Linked DNA regions of Rhinolophus ferrumequinum. The protein of the gene in region 2 purifies or fractionates together with the protein of the main gene of each other region. This does not show direct contact. Links are inferred from orthologs where the notes say so. Each region holds a gene or a part of one and is shown on either strand. Other genes may lie near its edges.

Evidence for each region.
Region 1: the proteins of SIN3B (region 2) and GATAD1 purify together in Homo sapiens (affinity purification with mass spectrometry; 5 studies listed by BioGRID and IntAct, with this or other methods). This does not show direct contact. The link is inferred for Rhinolophus ferrumequinum from reciprocal best matches to the Homo sapiens genes SIN3B and GATAD1.
Region 3: the proteins of SIN3B (region 2) and SUDS3 purify together in Homo sapiens (affinity purification with mass spectrometry; 3 studies listed by BioGRID and IntAct, counting the BioPlex papers as one, with this or other methods). This does not show direct contact. The link is inferred for Rhinolophus ferrumequinum from reciprocal best matches to the Homo sapiens genes SIN3B and SUDS3.
Region 4: the proteins of SIN3B (region 2) and SAP130 purify together in Homo sapiens (affinity purification with mass spectrometry; 3 studies listed by BioGRID and IntAct, with this or other methods). This does not show direct contact. The link is inferred for Rhinolophus ferrumequinum from reciprocal best matches to the Homo sapiens genes SIN3B and SAP130.

What each region holds. Positions count from the first base shown.
Region 1 is NC_046303.1:33,776,651-33,783,863, forward strand, and holds the start of GATAD1 (GATA zinc finger domain-containing protein 1), read right to left. Parts: upstream 3,011-7,213; 5' UTR 2,985-3,010; coding exon 2,733-2,984; intron 1,977-2,732; coding exon 1,851-1,976; intron 291-1,850; coding exon 231-290; intron 1-230. UniProt on the Homo sapiens protein: Component of some chromatin complex recruited to chromatin sites methylated 'Lys-4' of histone H3 (H3K4me), with a preference for trimethylated form (H3K4me3).
Region 2 is NC_046301.1:50,221,630-50,228,502, reverse strand, and holds the start of SIN3B (paired amphipathic helix protein Sin3b), read right to left. Parts: upstream 3,008-6,873; 5' UTR 2,990-3,007; coding exon 2,888-2,989; intron 2,653-2,887; coding exon 2,546-2,652; intron 1,571-2,545; coding exon 1,417-1,570; intron 1-1,416.
Region 3 is NC_046308.1:11,715,434-11,722,485, forward strand, and holds the start of SUDS3 (sin3 histone deacetylase corepressor complex component SDS3), read left to right. Parts: upstream 1-4,051; 5' UTR 4,052-4,610; coding exon 4,611-4,752; intron 4,753-4,850; exon of another isoform or gene 4,851-4,935; intron 4,936-6,668; coding exon 6,669-6,738; intron 6,739-7,052.
Region 4 is NW_022680440.1:1,123,379-1,130,840, forward strand, and holds the start of SAP130 (histone deacetylase complex subunit SAP130), read right to left. Parts: upstream 3,003-7,462; 5' UTR 2,913-3,002; coding exon 2,841-2,912; intron 2,045-2,840; coding exon 1,927-2,044; intron 1-1,926. UniProt on the Homo sapiens protein: Acts as a transcriptional repressor. May function in the assembly and/or enzymatic activity of the mSin3A corepressor complex or in mediating interactions between the complex and other regulatory complexes.

The DNA.
Region 1 (7,213 bases), on a different chromosome or scaffold from region 2:
TCTCCATTAAAAAATCCTTAAGATCCTCACATATCAATAGGCAACTTCCCCTCCCCCCTCAGCTCTGGATGAGACGTTTTATAACAGGTCTCTCTGGGGGAAATAGCTTAGGAAAGAACAAAACTCACAATCACTTTTTACAGAAAAGCAGACTTTCAGACTAACCCAACATTTTAGTAGCACATTACACAGCAGGCTCAAATCTTTCTTCGGTAACTCTACACGTTTACCTTGTAGAAGATCGATTCGGCAGTGATTATGGTGGAAACTGACTCAGGAGCTTTAATGGGCTATGAAAAAAACAAAAGTAAAAATATTAGCACAGTCATACTGTGTATGTGTTTATGTACACAGGCATTTTTTTTCCAGCCATATATGAGAGTTCTGTAATTTGAGAAATACCAAATTTGTTGTTTGGTGACAAAACTGCAATAAAAAGATAACTGATTTTCTGAATGTTGTGGCAAAGCCCAGTTTGAATATTTCCACTGCTACTTGTGCTACCATTAGCTTAAAATTGCTGGGAACTAGAGGAGAAGTTCTGATTATGCTGCTGAGAGCTAACACAAACCCTCACATAATAATGTGTTCTTACACATTAACGTTTTAATTATAAAAATATACTAGCTCTAATGGCCTAAGACAGAGCGGAATAAAAATGGGTAGCTGAACATAAAAGTGAAAAAGTGTCTCCCTAGCAATTTCCATCTCAACTTAACTATGGAACTACACGATACTCAGTATCATCAGAAGTCATTTTCTAGCAAAGCCTGAACTACGGCTGAAAGAAAATTCCTTCAGAGTTCTTAGTAATCTGCCACCACCTATCGCTGAAACCCATTCTTAAGCTGCAATACACACTTTTATGCCACAACACAGAAAGTAGGCCTCCCCAGATATGTCTTAGTATCATACTTAAAGAGATTGCTAGAGAAGTTGATATTGAAATAATTAAAGAACATATTACCTGATACTTAAGAAGAAAACATGAATTTAAGGATACAACTATAATCAAACGAATATTTACTTAACATGTTTTGTCTAGTCAACAAATGCCTCATTTTTAGAAAACTAAAGTATAAAAATCTTAAGACAAATTAGGGACTGTTCTCAGTAAGAATCCACAATATACTGCAGGGCCCATTTATGTTTTAGAAATATGCCTAACTTCAGAAATGGCTTTACTGGTAAGTCAACCCTTCCTGTTCTGAAAGGAAAGAATACCATACTGAGGTTTAAAAAAATAGAGTGCATTGTGTTTGACCATTGCCCCCTTATATTTACAAAGACAATGAAAATTTACTGCACCAAAAATGTGCTTCCAATTACCCCCAGCATGTCTTTCAAAAATCTAGTTTCTTACAACAGAAGAACAGGTAAAGGTTTAGCAAAATTTTTAATTCAGATTCATCAAATTGACTGTAAGTCAGTAACATGCATTTTCTGCGGCTATGATAACAAATATGGAAATGAATGAGTTCCAGTAATACCATTTACTTAGATCTTTAAATAATGGAAAAAAAGTTTTCCTAGTGTACCTGGCCTTACCAAGAACCATAATCCTTTGCATAAAGAACCCAATAAAATGCACCCAAGATTTGTTTCTTTCAGACTCATATTTTATATTTTTCCAGAGGAAAAATAAAAGCTAAAAAAAAGAAAGGGTATTAACTTTGCAAAAGTAAGCCTCCTGCGACAGAGCTCAGCCTCTTTAGGAAATCTGGACCACTCCCCAGAATAAGAGCTCCCAAGAGGAAAAGTTCACAGAGAAGAGATGAAGGCAGTATCAAGACACACTACTACACACACAATGCCATTACAGTAAAAGACACTGTCCACAATCATCTTACATTTTTTAATTTAAAAATATGTCTTCTCCCTTTTCCTTTAGTGGAAACTTTCTTTTCAGCAGCTGGAGCCGATTTGTATTTAGTGTTTCTGAGCCGAGCAGACCTCCTGTGAATTTCCTGCTTACTCTGTTACATAAACAAAGAACAAAAAAGAGAAATAAAAAGTGTAGAAAGGTTGTTGTCCCCATAGAACCATCTTACAAGGATCCCAGAGTATATGCACTTTATACAGTCATTTAAAAATTAAGTATACTCATACATAATTCCTTTTATTTTTATGCTGGGTAATAACGTGAACTGAGCTAAAACAGGGAGGGCCCTAGGCAAGCACCTCCAGAGCTTTTAACAAGTTGTGAGCTGCTAACAATTGAGCAAAGGGCAGAAGAGCAAGTCTAGGTCAAGGCAAGAACTATATATTTGTGCTTGTAACAGAGAAAAATCCTTAACAACTCAACTCTCCAACGCCAGAAGAGTTAGATATGCCACCTCCTACAATGGAATATTTATGCTGCCATTTATAATGACATAATATAATAACACGATATAATGACAAAATAGCCTTTATTAACGGGTAGAAGTCCAGAAGCATGACACCGTTTAGGTCTCTATGTACCACTGGATAATGAGATGCCTGGTTGCTACCCAAAATATTATTACAATAGGGGGATTTCTGAAGGGTTTTCAATTTTCTTGCTTCTTTAGATTTTTAACTTTTCACAAGGTGCTAGAGCCAAACCAGTTAAGATCTCTTCAAGAGGCGGAGGGCGGCAGCCCGGCCCAGCAGGGTCCCGGGGTCCCGGGGTCCCGGGGTCCCGGAGGCCCGCGCCCGCCCCCTCCCCGCCCGATTGGCCTCCGCAGGCGGGAGGGGCCGGAGGAGCTCACCTGCTTGCCGCTCCCGCCCCCGTTGCTCTGCGGAGGAGCGGCCGAGGTGCTGGCGAAGGTCGCCGCGCCGAAGCCCCCACCGCTGCTGCTGCCCCCCGTCCCGCTGGCGGCCCCCGAGCCGCCGCCCCCGCCGCCCGCGCCGCCCCGGCCCGTGCAGTGGTGGCAGAGGATCTCCCCCTGCGGGCCCTTCTTCCACATGGAGGACGACGTGGTCTTGCAGACGCTGCAGGTGGGCTTCAGGCCCAGAGGCATCGTGGCCGACTCGGGCGGCCCCCGCGGGCGCAGCGACACGGGAATGGCGACCGCCGGCCCTGGCCGCCCACTGGTCGGCCCGTCACGTCCACCGACTGTAAGAGCGGCGCGGGCGCCAAGCTATCCACGTTAGGACCCGTCCCCGGCCGCTGCCCCCTGGAGGCAGGAAGCCGATTCCACCACTTGGGAGCCAAACACCAGTCCCGGATCGCCCGAGGCGCCTGGCGGCGGGGCCAGGGCGGTGCCCGGCCTGGGAGGAAAGCATGGCCTGGGCCCATAGGAGGCATCCGGCGATGGGCGGGGCCGCGCCGCGCTGGCCCGCCCACCTGACCGGAAGTGTCCCACCCGGAATTACTAGGAGCGCGCTGCCGGCTCCTGTGAGGGTAGTGGTTCGTGAACTTCTTGGCCTTAGGCCTGGGGTTGGCAGGTGAAGTACTGGACGCCCAGTTAAATTTGAGTTTCAGATAAGCAACGAATAATTTTTTAATATGAATGTATCCCATGCAATATGTGTGTTTACCTGAAATTCAAATTTAGCTGGCGTCCCATACTTTTACTTTCTAATTCTGGCACTCTTGCTCAGGACCTCCTTACACTCTTAAAAGTTATAATCTAGACCCCAATGTAGTTTTGTTCATATGAGTTAGAACAATGCACTCTGTGAGGGGTTATCTAGCTGTTAAATCCCATGCTTCCTAGTTTCTGAAGCCTTCTGGTAATGTATTCCCCTCTGCACCTCATCTCCAAGTTACTCCCTCTCTTCACTGAAAACTTTGGATCTTAGCTCACCAGCTCCTTTCCACCAAAGGACACCATCCTGGGTGGGGTCAACATCCACATGTATAACCACCCAATTTATACGTTCTTATCACAAGAAAAATTTTGTAACTATGTATGGTGATGGATGTTAACTGGACTTGTGTGATCATTTCACAATCTATACAAACATCAAATCATTATGTTGTACAACTGAAATTAATATAGTGTTACATGTTGTCATGCAGGGTGTCATGCGGGATCTCTGGTCCCGCTCCCCACATAAGAACACAGGACAGGCCAGAAAGGAACAGCCACGGAGCCATAGATAGGGGAGTCATACAACTATATTCTTGTTAGCGGCTGGGGTAGAGACACAGGAAGCAGGAGCCACACGATCCGCAACCTGCCTTCCACTTCTCTGCCAACCAACCAACCCCTTGCTAACTGCAATCTGCTGTGCTAACAGCAATCTGGACTTGCTAGCTCAGCCACCATCTTCTTGCTAGCCCCCATTTTTTGCTAGCGTAGCCACGGCAGTTATATTAGTGCCCAATGACTCACTGGTTACAGCTGATGGCCAACTAGCCACAGCTGATGGCCATCCAGTCACAGCTGATGACCATCTACTATCTGAGCCAGCACCTTTCCACGTGAGGCCGAGAGCCTGGAATCTGCACTCCTGGCTCTGTCTCCACACATGTCAATTATACTTCAATATAAATTTAAGAGGGAAAAAAACAATTTATAGAACAGTGTATAGAATATGATCACTTTGTGTAAATTAAAAGCTACGTGTCTGTGATGTGTACTTTTTTTAGTCATTTAGACAAGAAACTGTTGACAATTGTAGCCAACAGAAATGGTGAGAAAGGGAGACTTCCACTTTTCATTTTGTACCCTTTTGTATTTTGTATTGTTTGAACATTTTCCACCACATGCATGCATTTTTAAAATTTAATTAGAAGGAGGAGGAGGAAATAGAACAAAAGAAGGAGGAGAGGAGGAAAAACTATCAAACGGAAAAGAAAATAAAGGCAGATTTTTGGCCCTAAAACTCCTCTCCCAGCTGGAGGTAGTGGTATAGAATGAACAGTACCTGTTTCAAAGCCTGACAACTGAACCTTTTCACTGCAGCTCTGTTCTTTTGTAAAGCGAGGAAGGTGTTGTCCACACCAGGGCTGTGTGAAGATATGATCCGTTATTGTGCTTGGCACATAGTAGTTCTCAGTGAATAAGTGGGGCTTCTCCTTTAAGCAGCAAAGCTGTAGCATCACAAAATGCTTATGCAGAAGTACTAGAGTGAACGAAAGTAGTGTGCTGTGAGGACAAATAGGACGACTATGTGGAGGTGATGGGGGGTCAGGTCAGGAGGTGAGGAAAATGGGTAAGGAAAAAGAACTCGGGGAGGCACTGTAAATGAAGGCCCCGGCCCAATTCCCTGCTCCCTCCTTGGCCTTTCAGGAAGAGCATGAGCCACAGTGGTCAAGCCCCAGGGCTGCCTAAGGTGTCAGGAGGGAGATCTGAGAGAGAGAGAGAGAGAGACAGAGAGCGAGTGAGCTGTGAAAACAGAAATAAATACCTCCCAAGGTCTTAAAATTAACACTAAGGGAAAGGAATAAAGCACAGTTCCCCCGGGAATTATCAATGTCAACATGTAGGCTAATTTGCACGATTTAAGTGTTGCATGATTCATTAATTAAAACTCTTAAAGTGAAAAAAAGAGCAGATGCGTAAAATATATCACAAGCTGGTTTCAAAGAGATACTGTTCACCACGTTTTGTGCTTGGTGGGGACAGGCCGTGCAGGATTCCCTTACCACTCCGACCCTGTCCTGGGTATCTCAGGGGCATCCTGCCACTGAGTCTCCATTTACTCACCTGTTATAACACAGCTCGTAAGGTTGCTGTGGGGGTTCCATGAGTTAGTACCTGTGAGGTTGTAAGCAACTTCTACATCTGGTAAGTGCCTGATTAACATCAACTCTGAGGCTGATAAGATAGGAGGAGGTGGGGGGGGAAGGGGGAGGCACCATTTCTTCCCACCAGACTGGTCATTAGTTATACCCCTCCCCCTCCCACAGAGAATCTTGAAAAAAATGTAATTAACTGAAGTTGCCTATTAACATTAACAAACTAAAGAGAGACATCGTGGACTGGACCGAGAGACAACAAGTGAGACCTATGAAACCGTAAGAAGGTACAAGGGAAGAGAGCCAAGGCAGATGTTCTTTTTCCTTTTTTATCCTCAGGAGGGGCATCATGATATTTCTGTCTCCCACTGCACTCATACCTTCTAGGTTATAACCTAACAGAACTCCTTTCTGTTCTGCATGTGTGCTCCGTGGTTCCCAGACCCGGGAGTCGGTTCAAGGTGTTCCCTTTGCCTGGAATATGCTTCCTCGCAACACTTTAAACCCGACTCTACTTATCTTTCCAGAATCAGCTCATGCATCACTCCCTTCAGGAAGCTTCCATGCCAGAAGTCTTACCCCCTTTCTCCAACTCCCTGACTGAAATAGCTATTAATATTTCCTGTTGTGATTCTTCCTTTCTTCTACCTTAGGGTACACCTTTGTACCTGTGTCTCCTCCACCGGACTATGAGCAGGTTGAGGAATGGAAGTTTGCTTTTTTCTTCTTTGTGTCTCTTACTTTCCCATGCATTGCATACAGCAGGCATGCACTAAAGTAGCAGTTTAATAAGTGGGTTAATAAATCAATGAGCCTCTCTCAGCAACAGTCTCCATTCAGGGCAAGTGTCTACTCCCATTCCCCTCCTCGCTACCCGCCACTTCATCATCTGACGTCTCTCACAAACAGCCTGAATTAGGCCTCCCCAGGTCCCCCCTGGCCGGCAGCCTGGGGTGGACATCTCCCTGTATCATGGGGGGGCATCACCGTCGTCATTATCCACCAGGAAAACTAACACCTGACTAATCATAAACCAGTCACTTATGTGAAAGAAATGTGCAGGATCCCTGCTGGGGAGTTTCATAGGCATCTTTCTCCTGCTTGGGAGAGGTGATGACATGATGGGGAAGACGCCACATCCTCCAGAAGCCTTTTGCTAAGACTTCAGGACACTCCCTGACATGGAATTGGTTTTGGAGATTCAGATGTAAGCCTCCTTGAGACTCAGCACAAAATACATCAGCCATGACTATTTGACCATCATGAGGCCGGGCAGATGGACTGGACTTAGAGCCCCTCTCCTAGGTGGTGAGGTTGGTGAACCACCCCACGCTCCAACTGCCACTCCCCTAACTGTCGCTCAGAACTTCGCTTGCAGTCCCAGTGCCTGCCTGTCCTTTGGATGACCCGGGGCTTAGGAGCGAGGAAAGCTTTTGGAAGAGCAGGTGAACGCTTCATTTTGTGGTTCAGGGACCAGCCAACTGTAGTTTCCTGAGGAAATCTCAGCTGCCTTTGATTTTTGTTTGTTTGGTTTCAGTTTTCAGTGCTTTGAAAATTTTG
Region 2 (6,873 bases):
AGGAGACAAGACTGGTCTGGTCTGATATCTCTACAGCAGCCCTCCCTAATGTGTGCGGGACAGCTAGGACCCCCAAGGCATGGGGGGAGGGCCCCTGCTGTGCCTCTCTCAAGAGCGGAGTAACTCAAACAATTAGGGATTGAGAAAGGCCATTTCCACACAGGGAGCACAATTCAGGCCTGGGAACGACACCCCGCATTGATCCGGCACTTCAGGCTCACAAAGTGCTCTGCTCCATGTACACTACTGCCAATGAGCCTGGTTTTCTCCCCCAGCAGTGACTGTGATTGTTACGAAGGTTAATCCTGCCAAAGCTTTTCTCTCTGGAGGCATGAGTCCCACATCTGGATCCTGGGGCTCCATTTGCAAACGTGAAATGGAAGCTTTTTGAAATTCAGCAGCCGCAGGCTTCCAAGTTCCTTTTTTAAAACTGAGACGCACTTTTCCGCTTTAATAAGACAACACGCTGAATGAAGATGGAGCTTGTCTTGCATAGGCCTCTTGCTGTTCTTCCAAATCTGACTCCCTCAGTGACAGGACACTCCTTCATCAGGAGAAACATGCAAAACGCTTCCTGCGGTAGATTTTTTACTTCCCCACTAAAACCCCTAGGGTAGAGATGGAGGTGGCTGAGAGCTGGTTCACTTCGACCAGTGGTTCTCAATGGGCGGGGGGGGGGGAGGGGGGGGGAAGAGGAGGGGGGATTTTGCTCCCAGGAGACAGCTGGCAATATCTGGTGACATTTTTAACAGTCTCCACTAGGTGAGGGCCTAGTGGGTAGAGTCAGGGATGCTGCTAAATATCTCCCAATGATCTGGACAACTCCCCTGCCACACACTCCGCAGCAAAGCATTACACCTTAAATGGCAACAGGGCCGAGGTAGAGAAAAAACGGTGACCTTATAAAAGTAAAGCTCAAATAGGCTTTCAGATTGCAGAGAGAGGAGGCAGCAAACTGTTACCGAGAGAGAAGGGACCAAAGCCATAAGCCTGAGCCAAGCCAATGAGCTGGCTGGCAATTAAATTCATCACAGCAACAATAAAAATGACCATCCACACCCACAGTCCAACTGTTTCACTTTGTGGGTGGCATCAGTGACCACATGCCCTATACAAGTGTGGCCTACCTCGTGCGCTCACCGGGAAGGCCTTAAACCGAGGCCTCGGCCACGGAGAATGCAGTTATTTTTACTGGACATAAAACTCTGTTAGGACATGCACGAACAGATCTACTCTTGATTTAAATCCTCCAAACGCACTGCTTTTGGAAGCGGAGCCTGCTTGCATAGGTGTTTTGATCTATTCTGATTTGTGCTGGCTTTCCAGCAATGCCATACATGACACGTGCTGCCCAACCTGAGGACCAGGGCGGGCCATATTAAGGCCGAGATTACTCGGATCATTGCAGCGGCATACCTGGCTAGACAGAGGTGACTGTATGTTTAACTTGCCATTCTTGGGAATGTCGATTCTGTACCCAAGGGGAAGGAAAGCATTAAATCCAACAATGAGGTCAGGGTGTTCATGGAAGAGCTGTGAGACGCGTCGGATGACTCCAGGAGTGTCAATGCTGGAACAAAGAAGAACACAAATGGGCAAAAGCGTCTCAGGGAGCCAATTAAAAACAAAATCTATTTCTGATTCCCGTGACAGTGCCCCATAACCAGTTTCTCACTGGCAACAAAGCACCCTAAAATGTGACTGGGGTGATTCTGCAGACTGTGATCTACTTTGAAAGCAGCTAGACCAGGGCTCCCTGTGCCATCCTGGGGAGAACCACAGAGGGATGGGGTCTTTCTTGTGCCTGCAGTCAGGGCCAAAGCCTTCGCATCGGGCTTGTGGAAGGAAACCAGACCAACCCTGCCATATTTCCTCAGAGGAAGACGCAGCATGGTGGGGATGTGACAGTCGAGAATCTAAGAGTCAGAGGGCCCAAGTTCTAGTCCTGTCCCTGCACCAGTCCACTCTAAGCCTCAGTGAGCCTCCTGTCAAACAAGGGCATGAGCGTGAGGTCCCCGGTGGATCTCTAATTCTCCTGATTCTGTGCTATCAAAAACAGTTAATGTGTCTTAAATGCCTTGAAAATGCCAGGTCCCTTACTAAGCATTTTATGCACATAACTTCCTAGCAGGCCTGGGACTAGGGTGAGGTAAGTGAGGCATTCACCTTGGGGACAAAATTTAAGGGGAAGAAGGCGCCAAAACATTCAATAACTAAGATAAATAACATTTTAATACAACCCTTGAAAAAAAGTAATTTTAAAAAGTCCTGGATGAACAAGATTCATTTAAAAATTAATCTTTTGAAGAAAGGCTCTGCCTCTGTGCTGGTCAGACTGGCCTCTTGCCTCACCCCGTACCTGTCCTCCTTCCAGGAATCCCTACAACAGCTCCACAAGGAGGGACTCTCCACTCTCATTTTTTAGAGGAAGGAACTCAGGCTCCGAGAGGTTCCACGACCTGCGCAAGGTCACCCAGCTGGGGGATTCTCACCCCCGCTCAGCCCGATGGCGGCCCCCCGGGGTGGGGAGGGGCCCCGCGGGTACCTTTGGCTTTTGAACTCCTTCATGATCTCCAGGAAGCCGTTGTAAGTGGCAGGGTCGCTGCCGAAGCGGATTTTCACCTGGTCCAAGTAGGTGAGGGCGTCCTCCACCTGCGGGGAGGGGGAGGGTCCCGGTGGGCCGGGATCAGCGGAAGGGACGGTGGGCAAGGGTCCCTGGGGGGCAGGGGGACGGGCCGGGCCTCCGAGGGACCGAGGTGAGGGGTCGAGGGTCCCGGGCCGCGCGAAGGGGAGGCCGAGGTGGGGCTGAGCGGGGCCCGGGTAGGGGGCGCGGGCCAGCGGGGGCTGGACCACCGGGTCCCCGAGGGAGGGCTGGGGTGCCACTCACGTGCACTGGCAGTTTCTCGTGGCCCCCGGAGCCCGAGCGACCCCAGCGGGCGCCGCTCAGCCCACGGCCCGCGGGGCCACCGCCACCACCAGCGTGCGCCATGTTGGAAGTCGGAGCCGCGACCCGCCCCGCCCCCGCCCCCGCCCGCGGGCCAGCGGCGCAAGCGCAGGCTCCGCCCTGGGGGCGCGGCCTGATGATGTCAGGGAGGGCGGGGCTTTTTGAGGGACCCCGCTGTAGGCTCTTACCCTTAAAACCGAAGTACTACTAGGCGATGAATTCCTTACATAGTTTAGGTGGGCAAACCAAGCCCTGCCGCCTGCTTTTGTCTGGCTCCGCAAGCAAGTTAAGAATGGTTTTTACATTTCGTAAACGTTAGAAAAAATCCAACAAAGAAGACTATTTTGTGACACGTGAAAATTCCGAAATTCCAATTTCAATGTCTGTTAAAGGTTTGTTGGAACACGTGCATGCTCACTACTGACCTGCCGTCTCTGGCTGCTTTTGCACTACAGCAGCAGGGTGAGTGGGTGAGACAGATCCTGAAGTCCGTAGAGTCTGATATATTTACTAAACAAGTTGGTGGAGCCCTGCTTTCTCTGGGTTGATGGGACAATGGAGTATAGGCCCAAAGCAGCCTAAACACAGGGCCCTAAGCGGTAAATTCTTACTAAATGGCTCTTGACTTAGTCCTGCTCCTTCTACCTTCACTTCCCTGGTACCGACCCATCACTTCCTTGCTGGACCCGTTCAGGAGCCACTTATCCAATTTTACCAGCCCTGGTACTATCAAGAACTGGAATTATTCCAAAGCAGCTTCCAAAGTCTTCCTATTTCTTGTGAGTTGAAATCTAAGCACCTACATGCAGCATTGAAAGCCATCAGAACCTGGCGCTGACGAACCTTTCCTTGAAGTTTTTCACCCACCTGCCCTATCTGTGCAGAACCTCCTCCTGCCAATGCCTGCCCAGCCTGGCTGCTTCCTGGCCCCATGCAGCAGCACACACCATTTCCCGTGGCAGAAGCTCTGTTCTATCTCTTTATTACCCAGAAAACACCTATGCATCCTTTAAAACAACTAAAGTGACCCCTCCTGTGCCCTCTTACAGTCCTTTGTCCATCATCTTTTCATGCTTCACCTCTAACGCTAATCCCTGACACAGAGCCTTATCAGTGAGCATTTACCAAATGAATGAACATTCAATCAATGACCAAATGGCATCTCTTTTTATACATGAAGAGGTGCAGAAAAGCTGAGGATACATTGGCAGTTGAGTTCATTATTTACCAGGCATTGTGTTACGTGTCAGCAATAGAATAGTGAATAAAACTGATAAGGCTTTTGCCCTCCTAGAGCTTTCGGTCTTTGAAGAAGGATAGGAATCAAACAATCACACAGACAAGTGTAAATTTTCAACTATAGCAGATACTTCAAAGAAAAGGTACAGGTATAACAGTAATGTTCCAGTTACGGTGGCTCTGTAACAAACCCCCCCAAGAGTTGGAGACTTAGAATGACACCAACATTTATTTTGTTCTCCAATCTTCAATTTGGGCAGAAATAGCTCATCTCTGGCCCACTGGTGTCAGCTGGCTGTCTGGAAGGCTGGGGCTGGAATCCTCTGAAAGTTTACTTACTCACCTGTCTATCGGTTGCTGCTGGCTATAGGCTGGGACCCAAGCTGGGGCTGCTGCCAGGAGCACCTACATGAAGCCTCCCAATGCAGCCAGAGCTTCCTGACAACAGGGCAGCTGGGTTCCAAGCACAATCATTCTGAGAGAGGAGCCAGCAAGCCAGATGGAAGCCATATATCACCTTTTCTGATCCAGCCTCAGAAGTCACATGGAATCATTTCCATTGCAGTCTTTCCTTAGTGGCCATGACCAAATCCCTCCCAAATTGAAGAGGAGGGCAAATGGACTCCAGAAGCTGGGGAGTGGCCAGGGTCTGGAATAGCATGGGGGACAGGAAATACTGCCATGACCATGTGGGGAAAATATCCTCTGCCACTGCAGGGACTTAACCCAGTCTAGCAGGGGCTGAGGAAGGCTTCTCAGAGGACATAGCGTTCTAGCTGAGTTCTGAAGGATGTGTAATATTCACTACGAAAGTCAGAGGGAACAGTTGTGCAAAGGCCCGGTGATGGGAAGGCATGTGTCATATTTAAACTTAAACAACAACAAAAGAAGACCAGTGTTTTCAGATGGCATGGGAGTGTGGCGGTGGGAAGAAGGTGCAGGATAAGTGTGGAGAGGCCAGAGGGGGCAGAACACTTATCCTGATAGAATAGAATTTGTGCATGGGTCTTATGCAAGGAGCTACTTGAGTAGTTTTGAATTTGGAAGCAAATACTCTACAGGGAAGTGGAGGGGAGACAGGGAGGTGCAGGGAGGCTGTTTCCTCATAGAGGCAAAGGACAATGGTGGCTTAGACCAGGATGGGAGCGATGAAGGTGGAGAGAAGCGGGTGGAAGGTAGCAACATTTAGAAGGTAAAGCAGAGAGGATGTGATGCTGGGTGGATTTGGGGGTGAGGTGAAAGGAGCAGTGAGGATTCATGGCTCCCAGCCCAGAAAGAATTCTGCTCGGTTTCAGCACATTTCTATGTAGCAGCTAAGGTGGACTGAGCCCTTTGAGGCTACCAGATGTCTGAACAGTCCTTTTCACACCAACGCTGCCTGGCAACCTCTTAGTCACTCTCCTGGAGGACCAACTGCATGTGGCATGTCGAAGGGTTCCTCACACAATGCCCCCTGCACCCAATGAGGGTGATTCTATTCAAATTTTAAGGCTCACTTTCAGTTTTCCAGTCTTTTCATAGGTCTTGTATGGTCAGAGGAAGCCCTCATTCATTTGGAGGCTAGGCAACCACAAACCAATTCCACTGTGTGTGTGTGTGTGTGTGTGTGTGTGTGTGTGTACACATCCTTCAGAACTTGACTAGAATGCCACCTCCTCTAGGAAGCCTTCCTCACCCCATGTTAAACCGAGGTAAGTGTCCTGGGTGGCGGGAGGTATTGTCCTATAATGGTCACGGCAATATTTCCTGTCCCTATGCTATTCCAGAATCTGTATGTGAATGTTTGTATGCATGTGTCAACATGTGGACAATAGCACACGTACATTTTTCCATTCTTATTTTTATAAAGCATAAGACATTTGCTAAGTTTTTTTTCTTTACTATTCTCATTGTCATGCAGGGTGTCATGCGGGGGTCTCTAGTCCCGCTCCCCACATAAGAACACAGGACATGGTGAGGCCAAAAAGGAACACCCACGGAGCCATAGATAGGGGAGTCATACCAGTATAGTCTTGCTGGCGGCTGGGTTGGAGATACAGGAAGCAGGAGCCACACGATCTGCAACCCGCCATCCACTTGTTTCTGCCAACCAACCTCACTTGCTAGCTGCAATCCGCCTCTCTGCAATCAGCAATCCACACTCCACCATGCCATGCCACTCCACGTCAGGACGCCACGCCACGACACGCCTTGCTAGCTTAACCACGGCAGTTATATCAGTGGCTAATGGCTAACCGGTAACAGCCGATGGCCAACTAGTCGCAGCTGTTGACCATCTACTACCTGAGCCAGCACCTTTCCATGTGAGGCCGAGAGCCTGGGAACTGCTCTCTGGGGCTCTGTCCCCACACTCATCTACACAGATTAAGTTGAAAACCTCAGAGTTGACAATTTAGATAGACCAGCTTAGGAAGACAAATTTCCTTACCATCTGTCAAATTTCACATTAAGGTAAGATTCTTATGTAGGTTTTTTGTTGGACAGTATTTTGGTGAGATTAAGAAGACAAGGTCAAAATAGCCTATTTGAACTAATTGAAGTCTTCCCAAGTGGCAAACTTTATGAGCAAAATCTCTAACGTCCTGAACCGTGTGTTGTGGCAGAATTCCAAGATGGACACCGAGATTCTCACCCCTGGTGTGTGCGCCCCATCTAATCCCCATCCTGGAGTGTGAGTGGTACCTGGGAGT
Region 3 (7,052 bases), on a different chromosome or scaffold from region 2:
CCCTCCAGTCCGTGCGTTGTACTTAGGAGACGTTTCATTACATAATCCCTGGTCCACAGAGTAACCCCACGGAGTCACGGGGGCTCAGAATGTCCCACGCCTCACACGCTACCCTTAGGAAGATCGGCTGACGGCGGACCCTGCGAGCAGCACGGTCCCCTCTTCTCTGCGCTGCGGGCTGTGCTAACTCGCCCCGCGCAGCGACCAGGACCCAGGCTCCCTCTCCTCTCTCACGCAGGGCCGGGCACGATCAGAAGCCCCTCTCGCCGGCCCCCCGTTGTCCCGGCCCCTGTCGGGAACCTCCCCCGCAAGATCTGCTGTCCCAGCCCCTCTCGAGGTCCCCTTCCCCTTCAGACCCGCTGTCCCAACCCCATCAGACCGGCCGTCCCAGCCGCTCTCGGGGACCCCCACCCTCAGACCTGCTTTCCAGGCCCCTCTCGGGGACGCCCCTCAAACTCGCTGTCCCAGTTCCTCTCGGGGAACCACCCCTCCTCAGACCTGTTGTCCCGGCTCCTCTGGCGAACTCCCCTCAGACCGGCTGTCCTGGCCCCTCTCAGGGTCCCCTCTCCTCAGACCCGCTGTCCCGGCCCCTCCTGGGGTCCCCTCTCTTCAGACCCGCTGTCCCGGCCCCTCTCAGGGTCCCGCTTCAGACTCACTTTCCCCTGCCCCTCTCGGGGTCCCCCCTCAGACCCTCTACCCCAGCCCCTCTCGGGGATTTTCTCTCGATAGTCCGGACTGTCAAACCCGCTCCTGGAACTCCCCTCACGCGGGTCCTCGCCGACCTCATTCCGCCCGTGATCTCCTCTCCTGGGCTCACGCTGTCACCGCCCCGCGCCCCGGTGCTCTCACCTCAGACCTGCTGTCACCACCCGGGCCCGGCGTCGCCGCCGCCGCTTCCTCTCCCACACTTGTTCCCGAGTCCCTCTTCTGCCGCTTGTCCCCTGGCAGATCCCTTGGTCCGGTCGCTGAGTGCTGGGTCTGGCCGCGCGGAGCCTCCGCCCGCAGTCTCTGCGTCGCGTCCCACTCTCTCACGCAGAACCCCGCCGCCGCCGGGCGCCACACGGACCCTCCCGCGGCCGCCGCCGCTGCTGCTGTCCGAGGTGCGGCTCTTGCCAGGGGTGGCCAATCGCACCCGACTGCGCCGAGCGCGCTCCGCCCCACGGTCTCAGTCTGCCCGCCCCCGGCCCTCGACCACGCCCCCATCTCGTCTCCGATAGGCTCTCTACTGACCTTCCTTGATCGTCGGGCACGGCCTGGGGCCGCATATAGGTACTTGATTGAAGGTGCCTGGGAAGCCGAGCGGTCGATGGCTCCTGAGGATTGGCGGAGTTGACGGTGGGCGGGACGGGGCGGGGCGGGGTTTTTTCGGAGACGGAAGACCTTGCAACTTCAGTTACCCCCTGGCCGGTCTGGGGTGCGGTCACCGTTGTTTGTACTGCGCTGGGTCAAAGTTCGGGCACTCCTCCCTGAACCTTTACTTTTCTTGGGAGACTACCAGAGGTCAAGACCTTCTGGGACTCTCTGGACCACCATGTTAGAGTCTTTGAGGAGGTCCCCATTCTTCTGCTAGACCTCGCACAGCTTCCTCAGTAATTCTGCCAAAAATTAATGTAACATTTATTCACCGAGGACTTGTAAATATTTCCTGGATTTAAACTCTTTTATATCTTTGTCAAGGGAGTTTCACTTCCTTTATTGCGTTCAGCAGACGTCAGTTTAGTGCTCTTGAAAAAAGAAATCTATATACTAGATGCAGACTCTGCACAACTAAACATTCAACACTGATGGGACACATTTTGATAAGTATAAGGACAAAGCTTTAGAAATAATCAGTTTGTGGGTTTTGATCATCATGACAGGCGGAACAAGAACTGTGTGGCAGTTTTAGCAATGTTTTAGCAAGCCTATACAACATTTTTCTGTGCGAACTAATGGGCAAAGTATAATGAACTTTGAAGTGTACACCCTTTGATAACCAGAGACCCATCTTGATCCAAACTGAAAGATGGGGCCTGCTAGGGGTGAAAGTGCATCATGTGACTCAGAACCATTCTTTATATTTTTGTGAAACTGGATATTTTGATTAAATAATATCAGAAACTGAAAACAGCTACCCTCACCCCTAAACCCCAAAGTTTATGGGCTGGAAAATTTAGCGTTTTATGAAGAAATTGTTTCATTTCAAGGACACAATTTGATCTTAAGCCCTGTCAGATGTATATAGGACTTAATTCTCAGAAAACTCCGTCATTAACTCTTTTTTGTGTTAATTCCCACTGACAAAATTTGTGTTCTAAACATTACACATATTTTCCTTAGTGTTTTAAAATCCTACCCCATTCCAATTAAGATACTCCTCTTTGAGTGTTAGGGTATGCAAAAAGGGCCTAGGAAAATGGGGCTGGCAGGACTTGAAGACTAGTTTTGAAGTAGATGTGGCCTGAGCAGTGTGCTGAATGCCATTTTGGGAAGGGATGCAGAGAGATTTCAAGGTGGTAAAACTTAGTTTTGAGGGAACTTGATTTTTACAGGCTTAGAGAGGCTGTCGAAAACCATTATATTAAAACAACTATCAAGGTTGGGTAAGAGAGAATTTTTTTGACTATGTCCTTCTCTAAAGAGTATTTATTAATTAAGAGCTCATTCTACCAATTCTAAAGTTGGCAATATGGAAAAGAAGAAATGGGGTAAGTTCCCACTACTCAAATGTTCAACTGTGTCTATTCATATAAAAAAGAAATGCATGACCATTACAGATGCTATTCGCAATAAAAAAAACAGAAATAAAACATAAGCAAGACAAAAATCCCAGTGTCTTGAAACCAATTAGTAACGAAATCAACTTTTAAAAAATTCGTTATATCATTGAACTCTAATTTCTAAAATGGTGCTTTCTCTGGTCTATGATTATTGCTACCAACAGGAACTCAAGTTGCTCAATATACTTGATTACAAATAATTTTGATGTGATCTAAGAGCATTAAAAAAAAGAAAATGATGTCATCCTTTGGACAAGAGACAGTTCTCTAATCCTAGTTTATATATAGACAGTAGACCTACAGTGAGCTCTGAGAATGAGTCTTATTTAGAAGGAGCTTCAGAAAAATCTCTGAAGTCCTGGAAAGACATCACAGCATTCTATTCTGGAAATTCTTGAGTTCTGTTGGGAGGAAAAATCCCTCACAAACAGAGCCAAGATTTTAATTGACAAGGTAGAAAATAAGAAATGTTAAAATAAATGGGATGAGAATAGGTTTTTTTCACTTTGAGAAGACTCTATGGGGACCTATTCAGAGATAAACATGGTCACAAAGGATCTGAGAAGCGTAATATTGGATTCCACCCCGTCTTTTACACCGTGATCAACTTTACTACTTGTTACTTTTTCTATGGAGACTTGGTGCAACATAAATAGTAGTGTTTCTTTGGACAATCCATTAAACATCTATGGGCCCTTTTCCTTATCTTTTCTTGCTACACACAACTAGACAAGGGACATCTAAATTTGTTCATTAAGCAAAGCTTGTAACACTGTGTCCCCTTCTACTGAGAGGGAATCACATAAATTAATTCATGCAGATATTCAGCTAAGTTCCCACATAACACCTTCCCTAAGTTAGCTTAATAAGTAACTTCCGGTAGGCTAATGTGCCATTTGAACAGTTGAGAGTTGGTTAGCAAGTTACTGAATTGGGGAAAATCACCTTAAAAAAACTAATATTCTAAGAAATATGAGGCAACTGTATTATAGAGGGCCTGGCTCAGAGTCTAAACAAGGCAGGCTGGATGCAACCATTTTTTGTTTTTTTTTTTGGGCAAATGACAGCTCTTTTCTCATCTGTAAAATCGAGAGAACATCATATTGAGTAAACCTATACAAACAGAAATGACTCCCACAGACTGCGGAAATACCATTTTGCTGACCCCAGGATGGAATATCAGCATCCTTGTCTTTATTTCAGTTCTCAATAAAGCTTCATTTAGTCAGGGGAGGAGCCAGGCTCCTTTTCTTCGGGATGATCACGCAAACTCTAGGCGTCTAGGCGTCCCAATCTATAAAGGCATGGATTAATGTCGTTCACCTGCTTAGAGACCACCTCCAACCGCCAAGAGCCCTTCAAACCCTCTACCTCTCAGGTCGCTAACGATTCTCACTTTAGCACTGGTCCCAGGCGCCTCCTGGCGGCTGTTTCCGGAAGTAGCCTCTGAGTTTCGGGGTCCTGGCCGGGGCCAGGTCTGTCTAAGGATTTACCTAAGTGTAGAGACCTCGTCTCCGCCTTTCCCCACTACCCGTTGAGGATTTGACGACGGCGATGAAGGGGCTGGGGTTAATGCGAAGGAGGTGTCTGGCGGCCTCTCCACTCCCTGAAGGATGGCGGAGTCAGGCGGTCCTCGGGCAGCTCGCGACCCGGAAGTCGCCGCCGGCGCGAGGCCCCCGTTGCCGAGCGCGGGCGCGAGGGGCGGAGCTTGGCGGAGACTGGGAAGGGGGTCGCCGCGGCTCCCGCTCGTCAAGTTGGCGGCTCCCTGAGGCGCTGCTAGGCGGGCGTTGAGTGTGCAGGGCGGGTGGCCGCGGTCCCCGGGTGGCGCTCTCGGCTGTTGTCAGAAGCGACATGAGTGCCGCCGGGCTGTTGGCTCCGGCTCCGGCCCCGGCTGGAGCGCCGCCGGCTCCGGAGTATTATCCGGAGGAGGATGAAGAGCTGGAGAGCGCCGAGGACGACGAGCGCAGCTGCCGGGGCCGCGAGTCTGACGAAGGCGCGTCCTTTCGCTCTCCAGGCAGCCCGGAGTGGGGGTGGGACCGCTGCGGGAGGGGCTGAGGCTTTGCAAGGAAGAGGGGCGGGGCGACGTGCGGGACTCGGGGCAGCCCGGAGGGACAGCTGGTCGGAGCGGGGCTCCAGCATGGTACCCCTACCTGTACAGGGCAAGGGGAAGCTCTGGGTACGTTGTACCCTCCAGTTATGGGAAGAAGGCACTTAGGAAGCCGTTGTCACAGCTGCCCCTCTACTCCCCGCCGTCTCTGCTTGTACCTCAGGTCTTCACTGGTTGGAATGAGAAAGCCTTCCATTGCGCAGCCCTGCCTTTTGAGTTCCTGAGAGGGTTAGAGCAAAGCCCACTTTGGCTTCTTGGTTCCCCCGTTGTTCCCCGTCTCCGCTCCCCCACCCTCTACCCCGGGGAAATGCTTCAGTCCGTCAGCCCTACTTTGGGCGGTGCAGTACAGGTTGGTTACAGGAATGGGACCTGGAATCAGGTTTAGGTCTACATGTGGCTCCCTTAACCCAGCTTTTGACTTTAGACAACTTCCTTAAGCCTACGAAGCCTCAGTTTTCCCAACTGTAACGGGGCTTCCGAGCGTAGGAATGAGAACTAAATGAGTTGTGCACGTACAGTAGTGTACTGGTACTTGAAAGCCTGGGACTCAGGACTAACTCAGTAGATGTTTTCACGGGGGAAATAGGCACAACGGAAGGTAGGGATTTGCTTAATGGTGCCCCGGGGTTATGTTAAGTTTCACGCTCTTTGCATCATCATCACTGCCTCTCTGCCTTGCTTTTCAAACTGGGCTTTAGTTTGGCAAGTGTGAGGAAGACTTTTGGAGGGATTGAGGAAGGAGCTGGCTGGAGGAGGAGAAAGGTGAAGAAACATAAAGAACAAGGGAGAAGAAAGAGGAGCTAGAGACCAGTGTATGGGTGGCATGTTCTGGCACAAAATAGGGCTGTGGAACAAAAGCCTAGAGCAGCGAGGCTGTACTGTGGAGTATGTTGTATTCATCTCAGTTCTAAGTGCTGAGTACTGTGGCTGGCACATGACAGGAACTCCGTGAAGGTCTCTTGACTGAAGGAGGGGAGATGGGTTTGTGGAGAATTGGACCTTTAACCGCCTTTAAAAAGGTATCTGTATATGCAGATATAAAGTGGAAGGAACTAACTGCATTTGTTTAAAGTACATTTGAAGACAAGGCTTACCCAGGTATTTTGAATGTGAATCACTTGTCACTTGTACTGTTTCTAATGCCCGCAAGGGGGAGCGATGAAGCCAAAATGGATTTTTTTCCCCCTCTTAGGTAGGGCTGTTGAAATTATGTAGACACTCTAGCCGTTTGCTTATTCTGAGAACAATGTTTAAAGTGTTCTGAAACAGTTTCCGTTTGATCATCTTGTCTCCTTTTAGTTGTAACTTTCAAAATATTTCAGTTCTTAAGAGTTCAGTTCATTGATTCAGATTCTCCTTTGCTTACAGTTGATGTAAAATCTCTTAAGGATTCTAACTGGGCATCTACCAGAAGAGAATATACATATTAGGTTATTTTGGAGTAGTGATCGAGGTTTGCCTGCCTGTAGTTCTCCTCTCTTATGTCTCTTTTTCCTGAACTGCCTGTTCTGCAGAAGTAACAGCCTTGAATGACCGCATGTGTTCAATGCACCGTTTTCTGGCTGTACTTCAGATAACGGCAAGCTCTTTGCATAAAGCTGGTTGTGTATAAGTTGGAAATGGTATTTTCTTTCCTGAAGTAACTGTATGTAACAATTTTCGTTGACTCTTCCCACAGGCCTGCATTGAGTAGAACTTCATTTTACAGAAGACTGTAGTGTGACAGAAGTGTCACTGTGTCAGGTGATACCAACTCTATGAATTATGATTTTAACAAACTCTTCTTCCCTGATTTTATTTAGATACTGAGGATGCTAGCGAAACTGACCTGGCAAAGCATGATGAAGAGGACTATGTAGAAATGAAGGAACAGTGAGTATGAGTTTCAGATTTCTTTTTTTGGAATACAGAATTGACAAGGAAATCTTTGTGATTTGCTTGTGTATATGGCTTTGACCATGGTGCTTCTAAAGACCATGTATTGGTATGTAATTTCCCCCCATTAAATTTGTCACATTTTAATCATTCTTCCTGTTATAACAATCTTTTGAGGGTAAGCTAGAAAGGACATTGAAATGATGTCAGGGGAATAAGGCCATATAACAGGAGAGAACCATTTCTCACTTTATGAGGTATGATAAAAAAAATACAGTACATGTTTAAATTAAAAAAAAAAAACTTATTAC
Region 4 (7,462 bases), on a different chromosome or scaffold from region 2:
CTTTTTTTGATCAAAATTACTTTGATATTCTAGGTCCTTTGGCTTCCATATAAATCTTAGATTCAGGCTGTTAATTTTTACAAAAGAGCCTGATAGGATTTCTCTGAATCTGTATGATCCCTTTGGTAGAACTAGTGTCTTAAAAATACTGGGTTTTCCAATCTATGAACATGACAGATCTTTCCATTTATCTAGGTCTTTAATTTCTCTCAGCAATGTTTACATAGTTTTCTAACTCCAAGTCTTATACATATTTTGTTAATTTGTCCCTAAATTTTCTGGGTTTTTTTTTATGCCATTGTAAACACTTTAAAAATTTCACTGTTCATTGCTAGTATTTAGAAATAGAATTGATTTTTTTTATATTAAATCTTTATCCTGCAACCATTAATTTCATTTATTAATTCTAACAGCTTTTTACATTCTTTAATATTTTCTGCATACTTGATCAAGTTGTTTGTGAATAAAGACAGTTTTACTTCTGTCTTTCCATTATCAATTTATTTTTAACTTTCCCCAGTTGTCCAAACAGATTTCCCCTAATTAAGTTTTTAAGGGAAATGGACAATTTCATAACTTCCCTCTAAACTTATCTGTCCAGGAAGACTTTGATTTCTGACAATTTCATTAAGATATAATGTTCTGACCACCTCCTGTGAAGTTCTTTTTGGAACCATTTATCATTTCTTTCCAGACATTTTAAGTTCTCGATTTCAGTTTATTTTTACCAGAAAAGAATCTTGAAGCAGCAGTTAAGAGAAGTGATTGTAACCTATTCTTCTGAACTTTGAACATATACTTGAAATCCTCACGTGCTTAGGATCCCAAGTTACTTCTTCTGATAAGAGCAATAGGAAATATAAAAAACATCTAACTGCTTACAGAAAATTTTTCTTTCCTTTTCTTTTTTTTTTTTTTTTGAGCCACTGATGAAAAAACACACTATTCAGAAGTAAAATTATACACAATTTTGGTCTAACTCAATGATTTCCTTTTCAACAAAATTTGAGGGCAATTATTGATGGCTGACACCTTTTTAAATGGGCAAGTTTATTCTTTGCAAAGAACAGATGTTCAAAAATATTCTCTTTAGCTATGCTTTTAAATTATTCTGCTGTGAACGTATACCAAAGACAAAATAGTGTCAAAATATTTAAGGAGTAAGGAACATAAGTGGCTTTACAAGAACTAGTTGACTACTACTTTGTGCATTACACTATATAGCAAGCATAATACATACAAAGGTGCATGAGACAGACAAGCTCCTGGCCTTCACTGCAGGGGGTTGCAGGGCCATCATTTTACTGGCTATATATAGAGAAAGAGACTATTTGGAGTTCTTCAGCTTGCACATTGTAGGATGGTCAGCAGCATCCCCAGCCTCTAAATATCAGATGCCAATAGCACCTCCTAGTTGTAACCACCAGAAATGTATTCAGGCATTGTCAAATATTCCCTGGGAGGCAAAATCATATGCCACTGAGCACCACTGATCTGCTGCACTCCAAGGGTCTACAAGTAAAAATCAAGCTGTACATATGTGTATACATACTGTTTTTAGCCTCTTTTCCTAGATAGTAAAGAAGGCAAGACCTATGCCTTACACACCTTTGGGTTCGCTCATGGCATTGATTACCATACCTCTGGCCTCAACTAACTGAGAAGACATTAATATATTTAAAAAATAGCTCTTCCTGGCATGCTCACCGTAACTTTCATGTATATTCTAGTACATGTAAATGAAGTGATTAAAACAGGAATGAAAAAGCCTTGTTTAAATTAAAATTGCCATATGTCTTTTCTTTAAATTTGATAACCTATTAGTATTTACTAAAATCCCAGAAGGAATTTGCTAATTTTTAGATTAGAAAACTGACAATATTTTTTAAAGTGGAAAGCAATATAGAAGAATGTCACATATCTCACCTGTAGCTGCTGGGTTTATCAAGCCTGCAGCACCACTGTTTGCAATCTGTGAAGGAGCCTGGCTTAGCCCAGTGGAAGGAGTGCCTAACCGAGGAAACTGTTGAGAACTCATTTCCACCTGCAGAGCATACAGTCATATGGTTATTACTGGATTCTGAGATTAGAATCTATAATGAGAAATTAAAGCATCTTTAATACCTATATCTTCCCTCAGAAAAGCAAATGCAACATCATTTATCTAAAACAATTACTTGTGATCAATATACAGTTCAGAAATGATCTAAATTCTTTAGGTTTTTGATGGAGATAGGTTCAATTAATAGTAAAATCGTTAACAGGTAACATGGTGGGGGGATACTATGACCCTCCATAAATACTTGTGGATTGCCACAAAAATCAATATTGAATCCTACACAACAGCCACAATACATCAACACAATACGCATGTGTCTGTGTAAAGTTTTATGGCAAATGTCATGTCCCTTTGAAAGACTTAACCCTCACACCAAGGTGAACATTGTCATCAGTAAGTCATAGGAGGGATCAAAAAAGAGATGTCCTGTCCTAAGAATCAGAAACCTTACATTAAGACCTGATCCAAGAATTCTCAAATGCTTTTTTTTTTTGCATAGGCCTCCCCTTACCCATTTCCCTTCCCCCCATTTTTCACAGCCCTCCACCCCCAGTGAGCCAGAGGGACCCAAGATCTTCACTGCCTTCTCTAAAATCGACCGCCCACTTTTCCCTCAGGAGCCAGGCTATGCCGATATCCCCGATTCGCCCGCAACCCCACCCCCACCCACCCCAGTTGAGATCGGAGAACACAGGTTTCCAGACACTTCGGGTATGAGACTCCGTCTGGGGGCCAGGGACAGGCGTTCCGGGGAGCCCCAGGACAAGCAGTGAGCCTTTACCTGCAGCCGCCGCCCGCCGCCCGCCCCTCCCGCTTCCATCTCGCCTGGTTGGGGGTGCCGTGTAGGGCCCATTTCGGTGGTAGCGCTAGATTCCGGGGTCGTGGAGAGGACTCGTGCGGAGCGCGTTTCAGGCCCGCCGCTGTCCAGCCCCTCGGCCCCGCTCACCCCGCCGCCGTTCTGTTCCAGTCCTCTTCTCCCGAACCTGCCCCTACCTCCACCGACCGCCCATTGGCCCCAGGACGGGCGCGTCACTCCAGGGCCGGCACCAATCCGCCGCGGCCTCCGCGCTCTGATCCCGCCCCACCCTCCCGCCGACTGCCAACCTATCAGGCACGAGCCTTGTCCGCGTAGCCCAAACTCCTCGAGATGGAGCCAATAGCAGAGAAAGAGCAGCTCTCCCGGCGAGGGGGGCGGAGAACTGGGAGGCCCCGCCTCGGTCGGGGTCTAAAAGCGGCGGGCGCAGGGCCCGGATGTGGAGAGTCACTTTAAAGTCCTGTAGGAGCCAAACTCTCAGGGTGTCCGCCCGCCCGCGCTCCCCAGCAGCTTTGCTTCCCAGCCAAGGCCCACGCCCGCCACGCCCCCAAGCCCGAGTCAGCCCGACGCCTCTTCTTTCCTTGCCGTAGGACACCCGGCCCCTGCCACTGGCCCAACCGTCATGCCCAGCTTGCCACAGAGCCTAGGTCTGAGCCGCCGGAGACGCGGCACCGCTGCCCTTCCCCGGGGACGCGCAGCGGGACGGACGCTGCAGCCCGGCTCTGCCGCCCCGCCCCCTCGTCTCCTCCCCTCCCCTCCCGGGCGCCTGTCCCGCCATTACCTGGGTGCTGCGCCGAGTGGCCACCGCGCCGCCTCGAGCTCGCTGCCGTGCGCTCTCCGCCTGTGGGGCCGACGTCCTCGGCTCCGGACCCGCCGCCGCCGCCGCCGGGGCGCGAGCACTCTGCCCCCCACCCCTCAGCCCAGCGCCGCTGCTTCCGCCGCCGTAACGAGCCCCTCACCTATTGGCTGTAGTAGGCACCTCCCTCACCCAGGAAAGCCAGTCATCGCTCAGTCTGAGCGGGAGAGCGGACGGGCCCGCCCCCCGTAGTCGCGGAGGCCTCAGGGAAATGTAGTCCCGGCGCCAAGAGGGCGGGCCTGGGCGGGGCCTCCCGGAGACAACACCGCCTTTTGCTGTCTAGAGTTGTCCCTGGCTTTTCTCTTTGCCTAGTATAAAGATAATGGATCCCGCCCCTTTGCCTCAGCGGACAGCGATGCCTTTCATTTTCCCGAGGGAAGTGCGGCGCGGGAACAGGGTAATGGAGAAGGCTGGTTGCAGCGGGGAAGGGGGTCATCGCAAGGCCGGCCGAGGGTTTTCTTAACTAAGCTCGCTTCCCCGCGCTGCGAGTGGGCCTTAATACACCACCGAAGGCCACGGACCGCAAAGCCTGCGCACCGTGGGAGGATCAGGGTGCCGATCTGGGGAGACTCCATCGGGTTTGCCTGCCCCAGAGCCGAGCACCCTCTGGTTAAACCAGGCCGGCTCGGATAGCGGTTCCTGGCACAGGGCTCGGGTACTGTGCACCTGCTCAGTTTTTCCAGTTGCAAAGAAGCGAAGGGGGGATGGTGTTGATTTGTTGTTATTATTTTGGGGAGATTTAAGGGTCGGAGTTTATACACTTGTAGAAGTCTTAGACAAAGCTGCTGAAGCAAACTTTGGGTCTGATAATAAAGATTACGTCCCCCTTCCTGCCTTCCCAAGGTAACAATTTAGACCAGGAGTTTTGTGACTAGTTAAATAAACGGGGCGTAAATCCCTTCTTTCTATCGTGCCCAGCTGTGTAAGATAACGGCTTGCTAGAATGAGTGTCAAATACCCATCCTCTTTCCTCAAGCCATTTTCCTTTCTTCCCTTACCAAATTTCTTCTGAAAGAGCTGCTGCAATACACTTTAGCCTCGTCTCCTTAGGCAGTCTCCACCCTTGTTGGATTCTGCTCCTGCCGCCCTTCTCAAAATGCTCCCTAAAAGTTGCCAGTGACCTACTCAACTTCACCCGGTGGTCCTTAGTTGTCATCTTGTCTAGCTTACTGACGGTAATTCCTCTTTACAGTGTTCTTCCCTTGGCCTCTATAACCACCCTCTCACCTGGTTTTACTCTTATTCCTATCAATCTCCATTATCCCCCCTCCTTCACAGATACTGTATAGCATTTTCTAAGACTCCAACCCTCTTTTAATTCTATACTGTCTTCCTAACTTGTTTAACACCCTCTTACACTTTCAAATATAATTCTTGAAAATGACAAAATTTTATGTACACGGTGACTCTCTTTGAGTTGCACACTGACAGTTCCACCTGCTGTACCAGTCCATATGTGTCTTACAAGTCCCTGGAATTTACCACATTGAACACATTGATTTGCCTCCTCTCTGCACTCCTGACTTCTGGTTTTTGTTAATGGCATCACCATCCTCTCTGACTTTAGTTTTATTCTTGTTTCCACTCTTCCATCTCCCAGAGTCACCATATATACCTCTCTACCCCCTTTCTACTCACTTCCATAGCCTCGGCTCAAGCTTTCATTATTCTTGTCTGGATTATAGTAGTGCTGCCCCAACTCAAATCGCTTCCTACCCTCAATCTGTCCTCCACAGAGTTCTTTTTCTGAAGCATTAAACTGAGCCTGTCCTTTCCATCCATGATGTTGTAATAACTTTGGAATATATTCCAAACCTCTAAGCCCTGTATTCAAAGGCCTTAATAATTTAGTCCCTACTGCCTCTCCAAACATTGGATGCTCTCTCAACAATAGTTTCTACCAATGCTCCACACAATTTGGCCCTAGGGGTTTGCTCAAGTCTGAAGTTCCTTCTATAGGCCTCAACCTTCAGCAATCAGCCAGCAGAGTGCTGCCAGTTCTACGATGCCTACCTGGAAAGAAAATTATTTATATTCTCCAGGAAGCCTTCCTTGAATTCCTCGCCTTCCCCTGCCCTGCGGGATATTTTCACGGAACTTCTCCAGTTCCCCTGTCACAGCACCACACTATCTGCTCTGTATTCCTCCTGGAGTAGGCAGAGAGAGAAATCACTCTTTATATCTCCATCAACAGGAAGGATTAACAAATGTTTACTGAGTGTAATCACAAGCACATCATAGTACATGAATGAAGTCTGAGTTTTCCTTACTAACTAGGGACAGACAGTATCACCCAAGTCTCCAGTCCCTCAGATAGTGGACTCTTGAAGGAAAATAGATGTTTCACCCACGGTTGTGTTGCTAGGGCTGAGAATCCCCATCCACTGAGCTTGGTGTGATGAAGACAGCCTCCTTGTGCCCCAGCCAGGTTGAACCTTTCACACCTCTCAGGTTTTGAAGTCCCTGACCAGTTTCAGGGGCTTATTAGTATCCTAGGTTCTTCAAAACGATGTTGTCCACACAAGGTAGTTTGAACGGATTGAACAGACACCAAAAGGCATCACACCTGCTGGGTGATTATCTAGAGAAAAGCAAATAACTAATTCTTTGTGGTTCCTTTACGTCCAAATCCCACCCCCCCTCGCCCCGGCCAGTCCCCAGTCAGGGAAATCCTAGTCTCGTCCAGTTCACTCATCTGTAAAACAAGAATACTATTACGTATCTTGACCTGATTGTATAGATTAAATGAGCTACACATATAAAGATTGTGAAGTTTTTGAACTTGCTTATATCCATTATTTTTATAACCTTCACCTGTCTGTTACCCAGGCCAAACTCAGCATGTGTCTCGTCTGGGCACCACATTCTGTACCACTGTCCTCACCCCAAATGCATCTATGCTAGGTGTGGTATGTTGTGGACAGACCCTAGGATGACCCGACATGATTTCTCTCCTGATATTCATGCCCTTGTATAATTCCTTTTCCTTGAATATGGACAAGACCTGTGACTTTTTTCTAACCAATAGAATGTGGCAAAGATGAGAGGATGTCACTTCCTTGACCATGTTACATTATATAAGACTGCCTTGCTGCCAGACTCACTCTGGAGACTCTACTGGCTGGTCTGATGAAGCTCCTATGTGGCTCACATGGCAAGGAACTGCAGGTGGCCTATAGGAACTGCAAGCAACCTCCAGGAGTTGAGGGTGGCCTCCAGCCCAACACTTTCAAGAAGCTGGAGCCTCAGTTCTACACACCAAGGAAATGAATACTGCCAACTGAGTGAGCTTGGGAGCTGATGCTTCCTTAGTTGAGCTTCCACTGGAGAACCTAGTCCAGCTGATACCTGTCCAGCTGTAGCCTGTGATACCTGGGCAAAGGACCAAGCTGAGACAGGCCTGAACTCCTGACCCACAGAAATGGCGAGATAAGAAAGGTTGTTGTTCTAAGCTGCTAAGTTTATGGCGATTTGTTACACAGCAATAGCTAACTAGTACACCAAGAGTGGGATGGCATCTGATCCTAGGGTAACTCTTCTATAGGCTGATGGAAGGAAATTTCTGTCTGTACTAGAATGAATGCAGCTAACCAACCTTCTCAAATCTCTCTAGACTTTGAAAGTGATGTAGAGAGATCAGAAGGAGCAGTAGCTGAAAAGCCTGAGCCCCATGAATCCCATAAGAAAGCTGAGCCAGGAATAGGCTGAAGCTGTAAGACAGAAAAGTACACCA